Drosophila melanogaster: one gene and its partner. The protein of the gene in region 1 purifies or fractionates together with the protein of each later gene. This does not show direct contact. Each region holds a gene or a part of one and is shown on either strand. Other genes may lie near its edges.

Region 1 (5,342 bases):
CGCGAGTATTACAAATTTTTGATGGCATAATATAATCAATATACATTGTATGATTCTAAATAACCTAAGATGATGATTTAAATCTAAATGTAACCGAACTGCGCTGCTATTGCAAAAGGTGAGACAAGATTTTCTAGTTAGCTCCTAAGACTAAGATCAAAACAAAATTATGCGCATCTGGGTGTGCGTAAATGTTTGTATATTAAAGCTGGACTTGGGGCCGTACTTAAATCTTAAAATTTAGGAAAAGCATTTGCTTTTGTGCCGCGCGAAGAGTGGAAAAATTGTATTACTAAATTAATTAATAATTATTGTTAAACTTTGAGCAACATTTTTGGACTCTGTGTTTGTTAGTCAAAGTTAGTGTAACCCTGAGTAAAGCAAGCCTAAATTTAAGCAGAGTAACTAAAGAATCATAGTTTACAAAGTATACACAGATCTATGTTATATTCTAAGTGGAGTAAGAACCGTTTTTAGCGAGTTACTCCTAAGAAGCAAGATATCAGCATTTTACAGGTAATTACGCTTCATAAGCATTTAATTCCAATCAAATGGTAACTAATCGTACCGATAACCACACATCAAATTGCCACCAGCCGACTTCTTGGGGATCTGAATGGATCCATCGATCCAGAACTACAAACTCGTAACACTCGTAATCGGAATGCCAGTAGAAACGTTGCTATTTTGATTTGTAGTTGCTTGTTTTGAAACTAACCAAACAGTCGCTGACCAAATCGCTTAACAGTTTACCATATTTTCGATCGATTTTCCATTGCGCCTCTGAATGCTTGTGAGAGGTGATCGCCAATGGAGCAAATTGTAGCGATTCGGATTCAATTCCGGCCAGAACACCCAACTACAATTTCACAATGCCAACTTTTTCTATTTGCAGAGCGGGTTTACGTTCACAGTGTGCCAGCTGGATCGGATGTGGATGTAGGCCCAGTTTGCCCAGCTTATATACTGAATACTACATATGTATATACATATATTTAGTATTCCGCTTTTCCGGTTGTTTATTCACAGGATGTCGTTGTCGTGGCATTTGTTAGACTAAGTCCAGTTAAAAACGAATCGAATCGAATCGCGTTAAATACCTTACTTTGCATTTTTATTGCTATTGTTACCGCTCACAAACATACTCGAATAGTTAGAGCTAATACCTTCCAACATTATGTGCGTTCGTTTTTATTGTAATTTGAGACAAAAATAAAGCCCAGATTTCTGTGTTACCTTTACTTAAACTTTGGCATCCACATGCAGGGCCAGTACACCGTCGAAGTCATCGGATCCGATGTGTATATAGCCATAGCCATTCTCGTTCACAGTGACCGATTTGCCGGTGCAGGATCCGTCGATCAGGCTGCCGGAAATCACATCGCAGTAGGTTCCGGCAGGCAGACAGGTATTCAGATCCTGCGACAAATCGTACAGGTTGTTGTTGATAGCCAGGAAGCCCTTGTTGCCGCGACAGAAGGAGATCTGGTTGTCTCCATTGTCCCACCAGCCGGTGATCTCCGTATCCCGAACGGCGTTCTTGAAGCCCACCATCGCGTAGATCTGACGCCAACGATGCTCGCAAATCCAGCCATTCACACAGGCTCCATCCGCATCGAACTCGGGTGAAATTATTCTCTCCTGCGCATCCTGCGGCGGCGGGGTATCGTGGTCATCGAAGGCGAATGAGCTCATCACCCGACTGATGCCGTAGGGATAGGCCAAATGGAAGGCGGTTGCCATTTTGTACTGCCTGGGGGACTTGTAGTTCAGCACGGCACCCGCGTCTCGCTGGTTATCGTGGTTGTCCACAAAGGTCAAGGCCTGACCCGAGGGCAAGAATCCCCAATCGGTTCCCCAGCTCTGCAGCCATTTCAGTGCGTTGTTGCCACGGAAGGCGTTGCCAATCTCCTCGGAGAATCGGAACTCGGTGACGGCACCCAGATCCTTGTACTCATCACGGGAGACGGTTTCGTGACCGTGATCAATTACCTCCTGGAAGATGAAGGGACGGGAGTTGTGAGGAAAGCCGTGATCGATGTTCAGGTTGCTCAGGCTGCTGTAGATGTACTGCGGAAAAAAACACCATTAACTAATCGTTCCAAACTGGGAAAAGCTAAACTCACCTCTAGATCTTCCGATGCCATATGCTTGGCGGCATCCACCCGGAAGCCAGCAACACCCAGTTCGATGAGGTGATCCAGGAACTCAATTAGCTTGCTCCTCACCCAGTCGCTGCTCTGGTCAAGATCCTTGAGGCCAACCAGTTCGCACTGTTGCACCTGGAAGCGATCGTTCCAGTCGGTAATCTCGCAGGTGGGATGGAAGTCCTGTGCGGTGTATGGAACTCCTGGGAAGGATTTCTTACTGGGTTCCGCCTCTGTTCCAGCAGTGCCCACAGCCACACCGTCAAAATCTCCGGACATGTGGTTCAACAGCACATCCACATAGATACGAACACCCACATCGTTGCAACGACGGACCATGTCACCAAATTCCTCCTCATTACCAGACCGAGTGGTCAGCTTGTACGAGATGGGTTGATATCGCTCCCACCACGGACGACCCGCCGATAAGATGTTCTCATTAACGGGGCTCACTTGAACGCCGGCGAATCCTCGAGGTCCGAGAAAACTCTCACACTCCTGGGCAATGTCCGACCACTTCCACTCGAACAAGTGGACGATGGTGTTGCGATTGCCCCACCAATGGGGATTGTGCTGGGCCAGCGAAAGGCTGCCCGCCAAGCAGAGCGTCAGGGTCAAAGCGAACTTGAACATGACCGTATATACTGTGAGTAATCTTCATAGCAATTTCCCCTTTTTATACCCCACGGACAATCTTATCGCGGATTTGCTTCGCTTGGGTCCAATTTACGACCACCAGATGGTCGCCCCCAGATTGGGGGCAGATTTACAATGTCCATTGGCTGACCTATGGCAATATGCGATAGTAGGATAGATATTTGCAACTCGCGGGTATCTTGGATTTTCCTACCAGGCGGCTGCTTGGTTTAGTCCCGTAAAAGATAACCGCATAAACATTGTAACTTGCATAGGATTTAAAGCTTGTGTTACAATCACATCACATAATCGAATTCGAATCTAAGTTTAAATGTTAGTTCTTCAAGACAACACAATAAAAGTATATGTATTTCTTCCTAAAGAAAACAAGAACCGCCTCCAAAAGAGTATATCAAAGTTCATTCGGACCTTATAGTCAGCTTAAAATCGATTTTATTGCTCTAATTTATGGCAATATTTTTTTGCATTCGCCCATCGTGCTGATTACGATTTGTGAATTATGAAAACTGATTTCTGCTCTTTACTGTGAGTGTCATTAGCTTTGGGCCACGCGAACTTCGGCTTCTTGTGAAGCATCTGACTGCGAGTTTCGCATTCCAGTTTGTAGTTCTTGCGTAAAATTACTGAAAAATAGTAGATAATTTCTACCACCGAAAGCATGCTCATGCCCACAAAAAGACTGAAGGCGCTGCCTAGATTAGCTGAAAATTGACATTTTTAATACAAATTCATAAAGGAGTATTTTAATCAACTTACACACCAAAGTAACCATATTGGAAAGCAAGTCACGTCGCAATCGGCGGTAGCTAAACGAATTGATAAAGACATGCAATACACCATCGTTTTTGGCTAAGCCCGAACTGAAATAAAAAGTTGTTAATAACTGTTAATAAATGCTTCACCAGCATTTCTTTTATTATATTTACTAGAACTTATCGGCCACCGGCATATTCAGTTCCAGGGGAAAATTCGTCAACTGTACGTCGTAATCAATGTGTTCACAGGTTAGCGGACAGTAGCACTGGGTACTTTTCTTTCTTGTAATTATATTGGCTGAAAGCAATCTATTAAAATCGCTATATTTTGAGCAAATCAATAATAACCTACCAAAATTATCCACTAGACAAGGAATATCTCGAAATGTACAAATCCGATCGCTAGTGCGATTAAAATCAAAAAAGTACGTGTGACAACCGCAGAACTTGACCATATTCGTTACTCTACAATTTAGCTCGCAGTTAGGGTATACATAATCGGAAAAGTAACGCATGGGAAACTCATTTTGAAAAACGCAATTTCTCTCTTCGATGATTAAAGCTTTCACAGCAGAAGAGCAAAACGTTTCTTGAGGTCTAACTGCAGCAAATGTCTCCGAATTGAAGGCTATAAATTTTGCAGCAGAATGGGCACTGGGAAAGGCATCTGCTTCTTGGATCAATAACTTTACGCCATACGAATACGATTGCAATGGATCGTAGTTGTCGTCTTTATACCGTACAACCACTGACAGGCCATATCTAAGGCCACCTATTGCTCGTTGGGCGGTGAAGTTCAAACTGTTCAAATGGAAAACTTTAAAACTCTCTAAATTATTTAGTTTGTTATTTACCCACCCTTTTTGTCTCAAATTGAATGAACAGCAATGACCGAAAAACGTCTTGGAAAGCTGAAATATCTTGGAACAATCCATTATTTCACCATTAAACCTACAGCGATACAGAATTTCGTCACAATTCCAGCGTAAGTGTTCTACAAATTCCGGAATTGTGAGATTATTTAGGAATAGAAGGGCTTCCATTTGCTCGATGTCCTCCGCCGAATAGCGCTCATCATCTAGCATAAAACCGTAGAAAATGTGAAGTTTGCGTAGAATGCCCCTCAGCTCGGCTCCTTTTGGAAGTCGACTGGAGGAATAAATCAAGTGGCACATCCTTGTACAGACCTTTAAATAACATACACTTACAGAGTGTTCAGAAAGGCCTCGGACTTTTGCATGTTGAAGAGTACATCTGGACAAATTGTGACAGGTGGGAAATAGAGTCTATTAACCGGTGTGTTATCACTTTCCACATTCATACGCGTCGGACTGCTGCGATAGTCCATGTAGAAGGTGCGCGCCATAACAACAGCACAAATGAACATCACCACCGATATTAAGAGCCACACCAGGTGCACAATCTTATTCGTATCCTCGTCACGAGTGTATTTCAATCCATGGATACTGCTGGTGGCACAGAAGTCACTCCATGTGCGTCGCAGATAGCCCACAAAGGGGGTTACTTTCAGATCCACTTGCTCCGGCTTCAGCTCCTCCTGATGGCCCATTGTAACTGCTAACTAAATCCTTCTGCTTTAGTGCTAGCATTTAAGTAGCTGATAGAGGAGATGGTTGCACTTGATATCCTGACAACTGCTTATTATTTACGAATTAGCCATCAAGGGTGAAAGAGTAACCAACGTTGTTAGGAAAGCTTATTGTTGGCTTTAAGAGAATATGATTATTGGTTATTCTTTAAACAACTTCTTTAAGCAACATTC
Region 2 (8,992 bases), on another chromosome or scaffold:
GTCCGGATAAGTACGAATAGTGCAAGCGATTGCTCATAACAATTTCTAATACATATGTATGGTAATTTTTCATCAACGACTCTTTTACTGAATACGCAATCCGTAATGCGTCTCTAACCTCTGTGTTATGCTGCATATACATATCTGCGCGTATATAACTGCTTAACGACTTCCCCTATTCTTCCCCTACGCCCGCTTACGCGGTCTCCACATAGTTGGCCGGATACAGTCCGACGCGCCCATTCATGCGTCCCTTGCACCAGCCTTGTTCGTCTTCATCTTCGAGCTTCTCGAAAACATCACCTGAAAGAGTAAAAGGGTCGAACGAGCGGTGAGCGGTGACCGTTGGAGATTATCATATGGAGGGCTTCTACACACCTTGCTTGAATGTGAGCTCATCACTTTCAGCGCCCTCGTAATCATACAGCGCTTTGACCGGCACGCCTGGCTCACCGTTGTCCACCAGCACGTTGTCGCTCTCGTCCCACTCCTCCTCCTCGTCGAATGGATTTGCATCGACTTTGCCGTTGCCGTTGCTGTGTATACAAATTGAAATCAATTAGTTCAATGAAAATGAGCGCATTCAACGCGACGTGTCTCTGGATTGGCGAGCAAGCCAGCCATACAGCCATACACAACCATTCAGCCATCAAGCCATCAGGCAGTCCAAGTGTAATTCAAAACAATACAAACTGTTTCAACTTACGTTACGCTCGAGTTGCGATTGGATGCCGCTGACGCCGCTGTTGCTGCTGCCGTTGCCGTCGCAGCGCCGGCAACCGCCGCCGATGTTTTGGCTTCCGATGTGGTGACTGAGGATTGCGTGGTCGCTATTTCGCTCTTCACACTCGCTCTGCTGCTGACACTGCTCAAGGTGCTGGTGTTCTTCTTCAGGCTGTTTGTCTGGGGGTATTCCTGCTAAAGAGCTGGCTTAGTCTGATATTAACTACTGGGTAGTCAACTGGCTTACGTGCACATCCTCGGCCACAGGTCGCTGGTTGATGAGCGTGATGGGTGCTGCCGGCAGTGCCTCTTTTGATTTGTTGCCCTTGGCAATGTCACGGAACTCCTCCGTATATTCCTGTCAACAAATAGGAAGTTCTTCCATTAGCGGCCACACTGGGCTTCAGTAAAAACAGAAAACTCACCACAAATGATGGCCAATTCATGGCCATGTTAATGCCATGATTGTTCGACCACCATTTTAGGTCTTTCTGCTGGTCTGCATTGTTGATCGTGTGGGAGAACTCCTCGTAGATTTGGGGCAGGCTGTAAGTCATGTAAAAGTTATTTAAATGGATCAGTTAAACTCAAATCAAATTCAATTCGCACCTTTGCACTTTTGTGAGGTCCAGGCACGAGTGCACGTTGAACAGGATTTCTTTGAAGAACTGCAAACGCGTCTTCTCAAAGGTTTGGCACTTTTCAAACACGGATGTCATGTCCTCGATGTACACCGAATTGTATTTGGTGATTTCGGCAATCGCCTGCTCGTACTTTTCCCGGCACTTTTGCACTTGATCTTTGGTCTTTTGCACTCGATCGTGCATTTTCTTCACCTAATTAGGAAATGAGAAGTGGTGTGAGCATAAAATTAATAAATAAATTAAATTAATAGTTATACATACATATGTATAACTAAACTATTGCTTTTACAAAAAAGATCCTTACCTGATCCGGCGACAACGAGCTATCGGCATTGGCATTGCGTTCCTGATTGGTAGCACTGCGCTCCGTCTTGCAGGCCGAATGGTAGTCCGCTTTGGCCTTCTCGACCTTTGCCAGCAGCTTGGCCCAGGGTTTCTGGGCCTTCTTGAACAGATCCTCCAGGTCCTTGCGCTCCTTGATCTGCATAAGCGTGTGGTGGTAGTTCTCCTTCTGCCACGTCTTTATCTGGCTGTTCACATCGTTGCAGAGATTGTCCTTGATCTTCATGTGAACGTCGGAGATGCGTTCCGATTCCGTCAGAACGCCCTTCCAGGCTGCCTCCGTGGTTCCGTATTCCGGGCCTGAAACAAATCAGACATTCGTTATATATCTCTTTTAGCGTTTCTCAATTAACAACAGATTACAAGCGTGTCACCCTGTCGAGCTGTTTGCGGCTGACGTCATCGTGAGCCCCGCGGGTACTTGGTTTATCTAATCAGCCGCAGCCGCAAGATATATACAAACATACATATGTAGCCATATCTATAGGTATAGCAAATATAAAATGCCCGAAGAATAAGCGCTTGTATGGGTGCTGCGATGGAGGAACATCGTACATTTTTGGCATTTTTTATTGGGACCCCAAACACACGGCAATCAAGTTGATATGATGCTCGTCTTATAATTGGCAGTGCACGGAACTCGTTTGCCTAACGACTCACTATTCCCAATTCCCCCTGTGAAAAGGCACACAAACAGATATATAGAAATTGAGACGCTTAGCACACAAATAACTCGTTCTATTTTCTCGTCGCATTGATTTTTGAAACCATTTCAAGCGACGCTCTGGTGCCGGTTTGCTTTGGTGCCGAGTTATGGGCCACTGTCCAGCGCTTCTGCCTCCCAGTCTCCGTATCTGTAACTGTGAACGTATCTGTATCTGTATTTGTATCTGCACACGTATTCGTATCTGTATCTTTGGCTAGACGCGGCTAGGCAAATTCCTCGCAAATAAGAAAACTCGAAGAGCACTCGGAGGCGGAGGAAGTGATGGTAGTCGCTTTTGCAATTGCCCATCGCTGGTTACTGTGAAAGTGGACACTGAGAATTCCGTGCAGAGGCGGTCACAGAAAATAGCAGCAATAGAAGCAAACAGTACCAATGGGGCAAAGCGGTTTCCAACTTCGCAAGCGCTGTACTCGATTTCATTTTACGAAGAAGCGCGCACACTGTGCCGGACATCCGCTAAAAATGGTCAAAGACCCAATTCCGAAAACAATGAGTGAGTCGATGATTACCGCCGTTTTCGAAAATAGTATTTGGTAGTGTGTACTTATAGAAGTACATATATGAGGCAATAGCAAGGTAATAAAACCTTAAGAACCCATATAACTTATATATCAAAAAATAAAAATTGTATATTACTATAAAGCAGAAACCCACAGATATTTGATTCTTTATTTATTTATTATTTTCTCTTGTACAAACTTAAGATTTCCGCTGCCGAATTTTAATTGTTTAGAATGAAGAGTGTGAAGAGTGTATGCATATGTTTATGTTAGTTAATCCAAACACTTTGCCAGCCCCGCTCATTAACATACTTAAATAAATTGGTGTGGCGATTTTGAACCACAGTGCGCAGCTTTTGCAGAATACAACCGACAAAAACGAGGTAACGAAAAACGTAAAAAAAACCATTAATAGCTTAAGCCACTTATCGCACAACGGCAACAACAATGCTCAGAATGATGTACAGAATGTAGAAAATAAGAACAGCCAGTGGGCCAAATAAGTGGTGGGAATTCAACGTGAGCGGGTCACTTGATGCTCCACTGGGCTTTTAGCTCGTGAATGAATGTGTTGGCCAACAGAAGGCTTCCACGACTGATGATGTCTCATCCCACAGGCCACAGCCACCCACATCCCCATATCTCACCAGATCCCCACCTGCCGCTCACTTACCTTTCTCAATGAGTTCACCCCATTTCTTTGACCAGGTGCGCAGGCTTTTCGCATATCCCTTCTCGATGTCGGCACGCTCCTGAATCAGTTGCTGTAGGTCATTGCAGAGTCTGCGGGCGAAATGAGACAAGAATCATAATAATGCAAACCGGTTTGAATTTTTGTCTTGGGTTTGGGCTTCGGGTGTCGATATATTCGGCTGGCAATGACCCAGCGTCGCCCAGTGCAAATACACAGAGAGAACCCATTACCTATTTGCTTAAAAAGATTGATTGTATCACTAGAAATCAAAGCTCATTAAAAAAGTTTATGAAATGTCCACATAAGTAGAACAAATTGAGTTAATACTAAGACCAATGCTTATACCAAGGTCTTTATATTTTCTTATTTTTTTCCCTTAAATAAATACGAATTGCTGTAAGTTTGCATTCAAAACAATGTGATGACACTGCATGACCTACTAAACACACAGAAAAGATACAGTTACCAATACCAATTGGTATGACAGAAACGTTGAAAAACGATTGGGTTGCAGCTACGAATATGTTTTTGAATATTAAGCCAATTGTATTATGTCGAGGAATTCGACTGACATAATGGCAAAATAAAGTATCTCTCTGTGCACCAAGACTCCCTGGGGATTATCCACTCACTTGTAACCATCCTCGATCCGCTTGGTGGTGCGTTTGTAGTTGCCGGGCTCCCAGAAGGAATCGCTTCCAGCCTGGAGGAGCTGATCATCGCTGTGGTGGGACATTTCCTGTGGATTCCAATCAATATTAATCAATCACATACGACGGGCTTAAGCGCAATAATCGTAAAATATGAGTTTTGTTACGTAAATAGACACTGCAGACATAAACAACTTCCACACAGCAGCAACAACAAAAAGCTCTTTGTTTATACGCAAACTTGTATTTTTGTAGTGTTTGGCTAAGACCAACAAATCGTTTGTTAAACGACATACTATAGTAAACCCAAACGAGACGGGCTCTGAGTAAATTTATTGTTTGCCTAATTTGTTCAATTAAGAAATTCCTTCACATTGATGCAACAGGCAGAACTTTAATTACTGGAGCCTTATCAACGACCATATTTCTTGACGGTTTCGCCGAGTGTCCCCATTGATAAAGACTGGACTTATCACCCCTGACTCATTGTGCAACTTTGCATGGTGTTCTGCCAATGGGTTTACTATTTTCAAATTGGAATATTAAGGTAATGTCTTATTTTAATTGAAAAAATTTTCTTCGAAACTAAAAAATAAACATATTTTTAACCATATTAAGATAAATAAATATTTGTAATTTATTTTGAATTCGATTATTTTTAGTATCGCTTTCAAATATTATTTCTGTTTTTTGAGATAAATAGATAATGTTGACAGATTTTCTTTCTGTGTAGCATACATTTTCCACCGTAATAGTTTCATCTTATCAAGGGAATTCTCATGCACCCATATTTTGTAACCCAGATAAATGAGATCCCAAAAATTGAATTTGAAATTTAATATACATACACGCTTCAGGTGTTCTGCATTTCTGATTGTACGCTGAACAGTTGATACGCTTGTTTTTACTCCGGACAAATTCGAAAATTAGAATTCGAAGCAATTCTAACAATTTGGCGTTCTGCTTGCTTTGATAGTGCTTTTTTCTTTCCTTTGAAGTTATTCCCATATGCCTCTGGAACCTTCAAATATCTATCAACAGTTCTGCAGCTGCGATTTATCTGTTTGGCAATGTTCCGATTAGGCAATCCTTGCGAGTGTAGGAAGTCTACTTTTTGACGTTCCAATAAGCAGCAGCTTTACCCATTTTTTCTTCAAATGTAGCTCGAAAACACTTTATTCGTTTATTTGTTATATTTTTTCAATACAACAGTTTATACTTGTCCACGCAATACGAAGAAATTTAAGCTGCATCTAATTCAATGACCAACAGAAAACTTTGATAAGAAAAGCATTTTGGACAATTAAAAAAAGCATGCAAATAAATGATCGATTTTGTTAAAAAAAAAACGATTGTGCGTCTAACCTAAGAGCAGCAGTGTACATCGTATTGGAGACCCTTACGTGTGACAACATTTAACATTTCAATTCTCTCTGTGTAGCGAGCTAAATTTTTTCATACTCGGCGATGGGAAATCTTGGTATCTTATCAGTGGAGTGGAGTTTCCCTGCATCAGCTGTTTGTAAACAATGCAGTCAGTTTGAGTTCCACTCGCACACACCCGTATGGTGAATAACGGTTATGTTATCAGCAGCATTGACCGGTTATATACATGCTTTCTTATTTATATATGTATAATAACCTCTGCTGAAGTTTAATCACCTACACACATGTGTAGATTGGTGATGTTGGGTCTGCTGAATGTGGAATCTTGTATCTTGGGTTGACTTGATTTGGGCGTCATCGACTCACGATGCGCTTACGGATTTTCCCCATCATCGGCTATAAATATAAATATAGGATCGCGGCTCAGTGCGATTTTCGTGTTTTGCGTGTGGAAATGGCCAGCAGAAAGTTTACAAACAGGTTGACGCATACTTCGCATATTTGTGGAGATAGATAAGCACCTTTACGGCGCTCTCACAAGCACTCGCGCCACACACACACACACACATACGTATATGCACATCTAAACCAACACGTCGCACACTTAGGCGATAAGAAATCCCCCTCCGCCAAACAACCAAGAAACTCGTTTATCTTTGAGATTGAACTTGTCTCGACCGTTTCTACTGTAAATATTTGCATCGTTTTCCAGCACACCTTACATAAGGTTTTCTTGGGGCGCTGCTATTAAAATGCTTTCGCTGTGCACTAATTTTTAGCAGGCGAAGCGTACGAAGAGCACTTGCTGGCCGATTGGATTTTGTTGTTGCCAGACGCACACCGACACGCACACACGCTCGGCTAGGTCACACAAACACACGGGAAGCGAAATTCCGCTACACCCAAACGCGTTTACATGAAATGTTCTGTTCTAAATTGCGATCGCTTTTGTTGTTGCTGCTGCTGCAGCTGCACTGCATTTAAATGGTTGTTAAATAATCCTTGGCTTTGGGTCTCTGGCACTTGTTCATACCGAAGCAGGGCGACAACCTACCAATAACAAAATAGCGTAAAAAAGCACTACAACTCGAGTGTGTGTCTGGAATCGCCAACTAAAAAAACTATGTGAGGTGTGACCGTTTCGCGACCATTCAAATACACCTCGCGGCTAGCTGAAAATACCGCTCCATACGAATACAAAAATACCGAAATGTATTTAGGATATACATTTATTTTTAAGACATCTGTACATATTTTTAAGTACTAGTTACAGTACTAGCACAAAGTCAAGTTTTACTTAAACCAATTTGTTCTTTAAGTCCTTAAAATACTGAAGTTTCCAATCAAAATGTGTACACTAATTATACATAGTTGTATTTAAATTCCAAGTAAAATAAAACAATAAAATAACAATCAATCTATAGTCAATACCGCTCCAAATTTTGTGGACAATATAAAAACAGAATTATTTTGAAATGTTTATTTTAGAGGATTGCTTAAAGGACTTCTTCCCGCGCCACATACGACAGCATAAACTCGATTTTGCGAACCAGTTGCGCCAGTTTGGTGCGATCCAATTGCACACTTCCGCTGGCCAAAGCGAACAGCTTCTGGAACTCGGCTTCCTGGGTATTCTTACGGCGACTGATTGCCTTCGTCTGCTGCAGCAGATAGAGAACATCACTAAGGGCGGCCAACTTGTGCTCCTTCGTAGCCATCAACTGGCGGGCATCCTGCTGCAGCTGCTCCCTGTTGTCGACGAGGAAATTGGCACCTCCTGCAGCACTTCCAACTGCAGCCGCGCCGGCAGGACCATTACCCGTGGTGATGGCTTCCATCTCTACGGAGACAATAGCGTCCTCAGCATCCTCGAAGTTGGTGCCGTACTTTAAGGTGGCGCTGAGATTGACAAGGTGGGCCACTGCCTCGCTGGCATTGGTCCTCTGTTCGCCGCCAAAGAAACGAGCCACACAGGCGTAGGCGCTTAGTATGTTCCACAAATTGTAGTGCAGGCACGGAGACGGAGTTTTCTTGCATATATCGGAGAATTTGGCAATGCTCCCGAAAATTTCGGGAACACGGCTCTCTTTCTTGGCAGCTTCTTCGGGTGTAGGTATAATCACAATCTTAGAGTTCTTCGGCTTGATCCACCAGGGCTTGTAGTCTGGCATAAGCTTCATGATATCTCCATTGGTGATCAATTTCTGGAACTCATCTTGCTCCTCTGTAGTTAACCGGCTCCAAACTTCATCCGCATCGTTGATATCAACGCCTTTCAGTCGAGTTGCAATGTCTTCCTCCAGGTCTTCATCCAGTATGTCCCCCTCGGTGACGTTTTCTTCCGCCTCATCTTCTTCTGACTCTCCTTCCTCGCCTCCATCCGAGTCCAAACTATTTTCCAGGCCATCTGTATCAAATTCCTGGGGATTGAAACCACTGTCCGTTTCTCTCATCCTCTTCAGTATGTCGTATATTTTCCGCATGTCCTCCTGGCTTTCCTGCGTTACCGTGTTTTGGGTCAGCTCGTCCTGAATGCAGGACTTGTAGAAAGCCTCGGAACATTTAAGGTGCTCCTTGGACTTGTAGCATCCCACGCTGCAATACAAAGCATTGCACTTGGGACAGGTGTACTTGAAGGACACCTCGCGACAGCTGCAGGAGATTAATATATATTGAACCGCTATAATTAATATTACTTGTTAACTACTTACAAGTGACACTTTTCATCGGCTTCCGACATGGTCAAACAAAATGGAATAAACAAAATAGTGCGGTCGCCAACAGCTGATCGCTGTAGTGTGACCGTAACCACGATTCGTTAAGTAACGGCTTTTCAAATGGATAAGTTTTTATTTTGTTGTAAACAAAATAAAGTTGTTTGTAAACAAATTATACGACTTAGATATTATAAGAGTTGGATTTAATTTGAATTACGCAATTTCTCTTGTTTTTTACATAGGAATTTATTAGCAAATAACTATGTATATCAAATATGAACCTTAAAGATAAAATATATTTAAATATTAACTAGTTAGTCTTTTTACAAAAATTCGTTGTAACTAAACAATACACCTATCAACTACGAACATCAATGAAAAGAGAATAATAATATATTATTTAAGTACTTTAAATGTAAAAAGACTTATGAGAGATTGAAAATGCTTATATAAATGAAAAACAACTTAATTAATTAAAAATAAAAATATAACTGCAAATAAACAGTAAGGGACCTAATATGACCGTACCACCTCCACCCACGCAACGCGTTCAGTGTTACCATCGCGAGCCGCTGGCGCAAATGGCGCGCGCAGTAGGACCGCTCGCCC

The links. Proteins that work in one complex are often made in the same cells at the same time.
Region 2: the proteins of Amyrel (region 1) and Synd purify together in Drosophila melanogaster (affinity purification with mass spectrometry, with the first as the bait; one large-scale study listed by BioGRID). This does not show direct contact.

What each region holds. Positions count from the first base shown.
Region 1 is NT_033778.4:16,649,918-16,655,259, forward strand, and holds Amyrel (amylase related), read right to left. Parts: upstream 2,783-5,342; 5' UTR 2,781-2,782; coding exon 2,127-2,780; intron 2,071-2,126; coding exon 1,243-2,070; 3' UTR 1,178-1,242; downstream 1-1,177. Other genes in the region: nach, read right to left, coding at 3,288-3,505, 3,561-3,664, 3,731-4,708, 4,768-5,129.
Region 2 is NT_033777.3:20,830,602-20,839,593, reverse strand, and holds the start of Synd (syndapin), read right to left. Parts: upstream 6,796-8,992; 5' UTR 6,721-6,795; intron 5,198-6,720; exon of another isoform or gene 5,129-5,197; intron 4,370-5,128; 5' UTR 4,367-4,369; coding exon 4,263-4,366; intron 3,720-4,262; coding exon 3,610-3,719; intron 2,010-3,609; coding exon 1,672-2,009; intron 1,560-1,671; coding exon 1,333-1,559; intron 1,270-1,332; coding exon 1,149-1,269; intron 1,082-1,148; coding exon 971-1,081; intron 919-970; coding exon 707-918; intron 537-706; coding exon 379-536; intron 304-378; coding exon 197-303; 3' UTR 1-196. Other genes in the region: CG31223 (uncharacterized protein), read right to left, coding at 7,163-8,318, 8,378-8,406.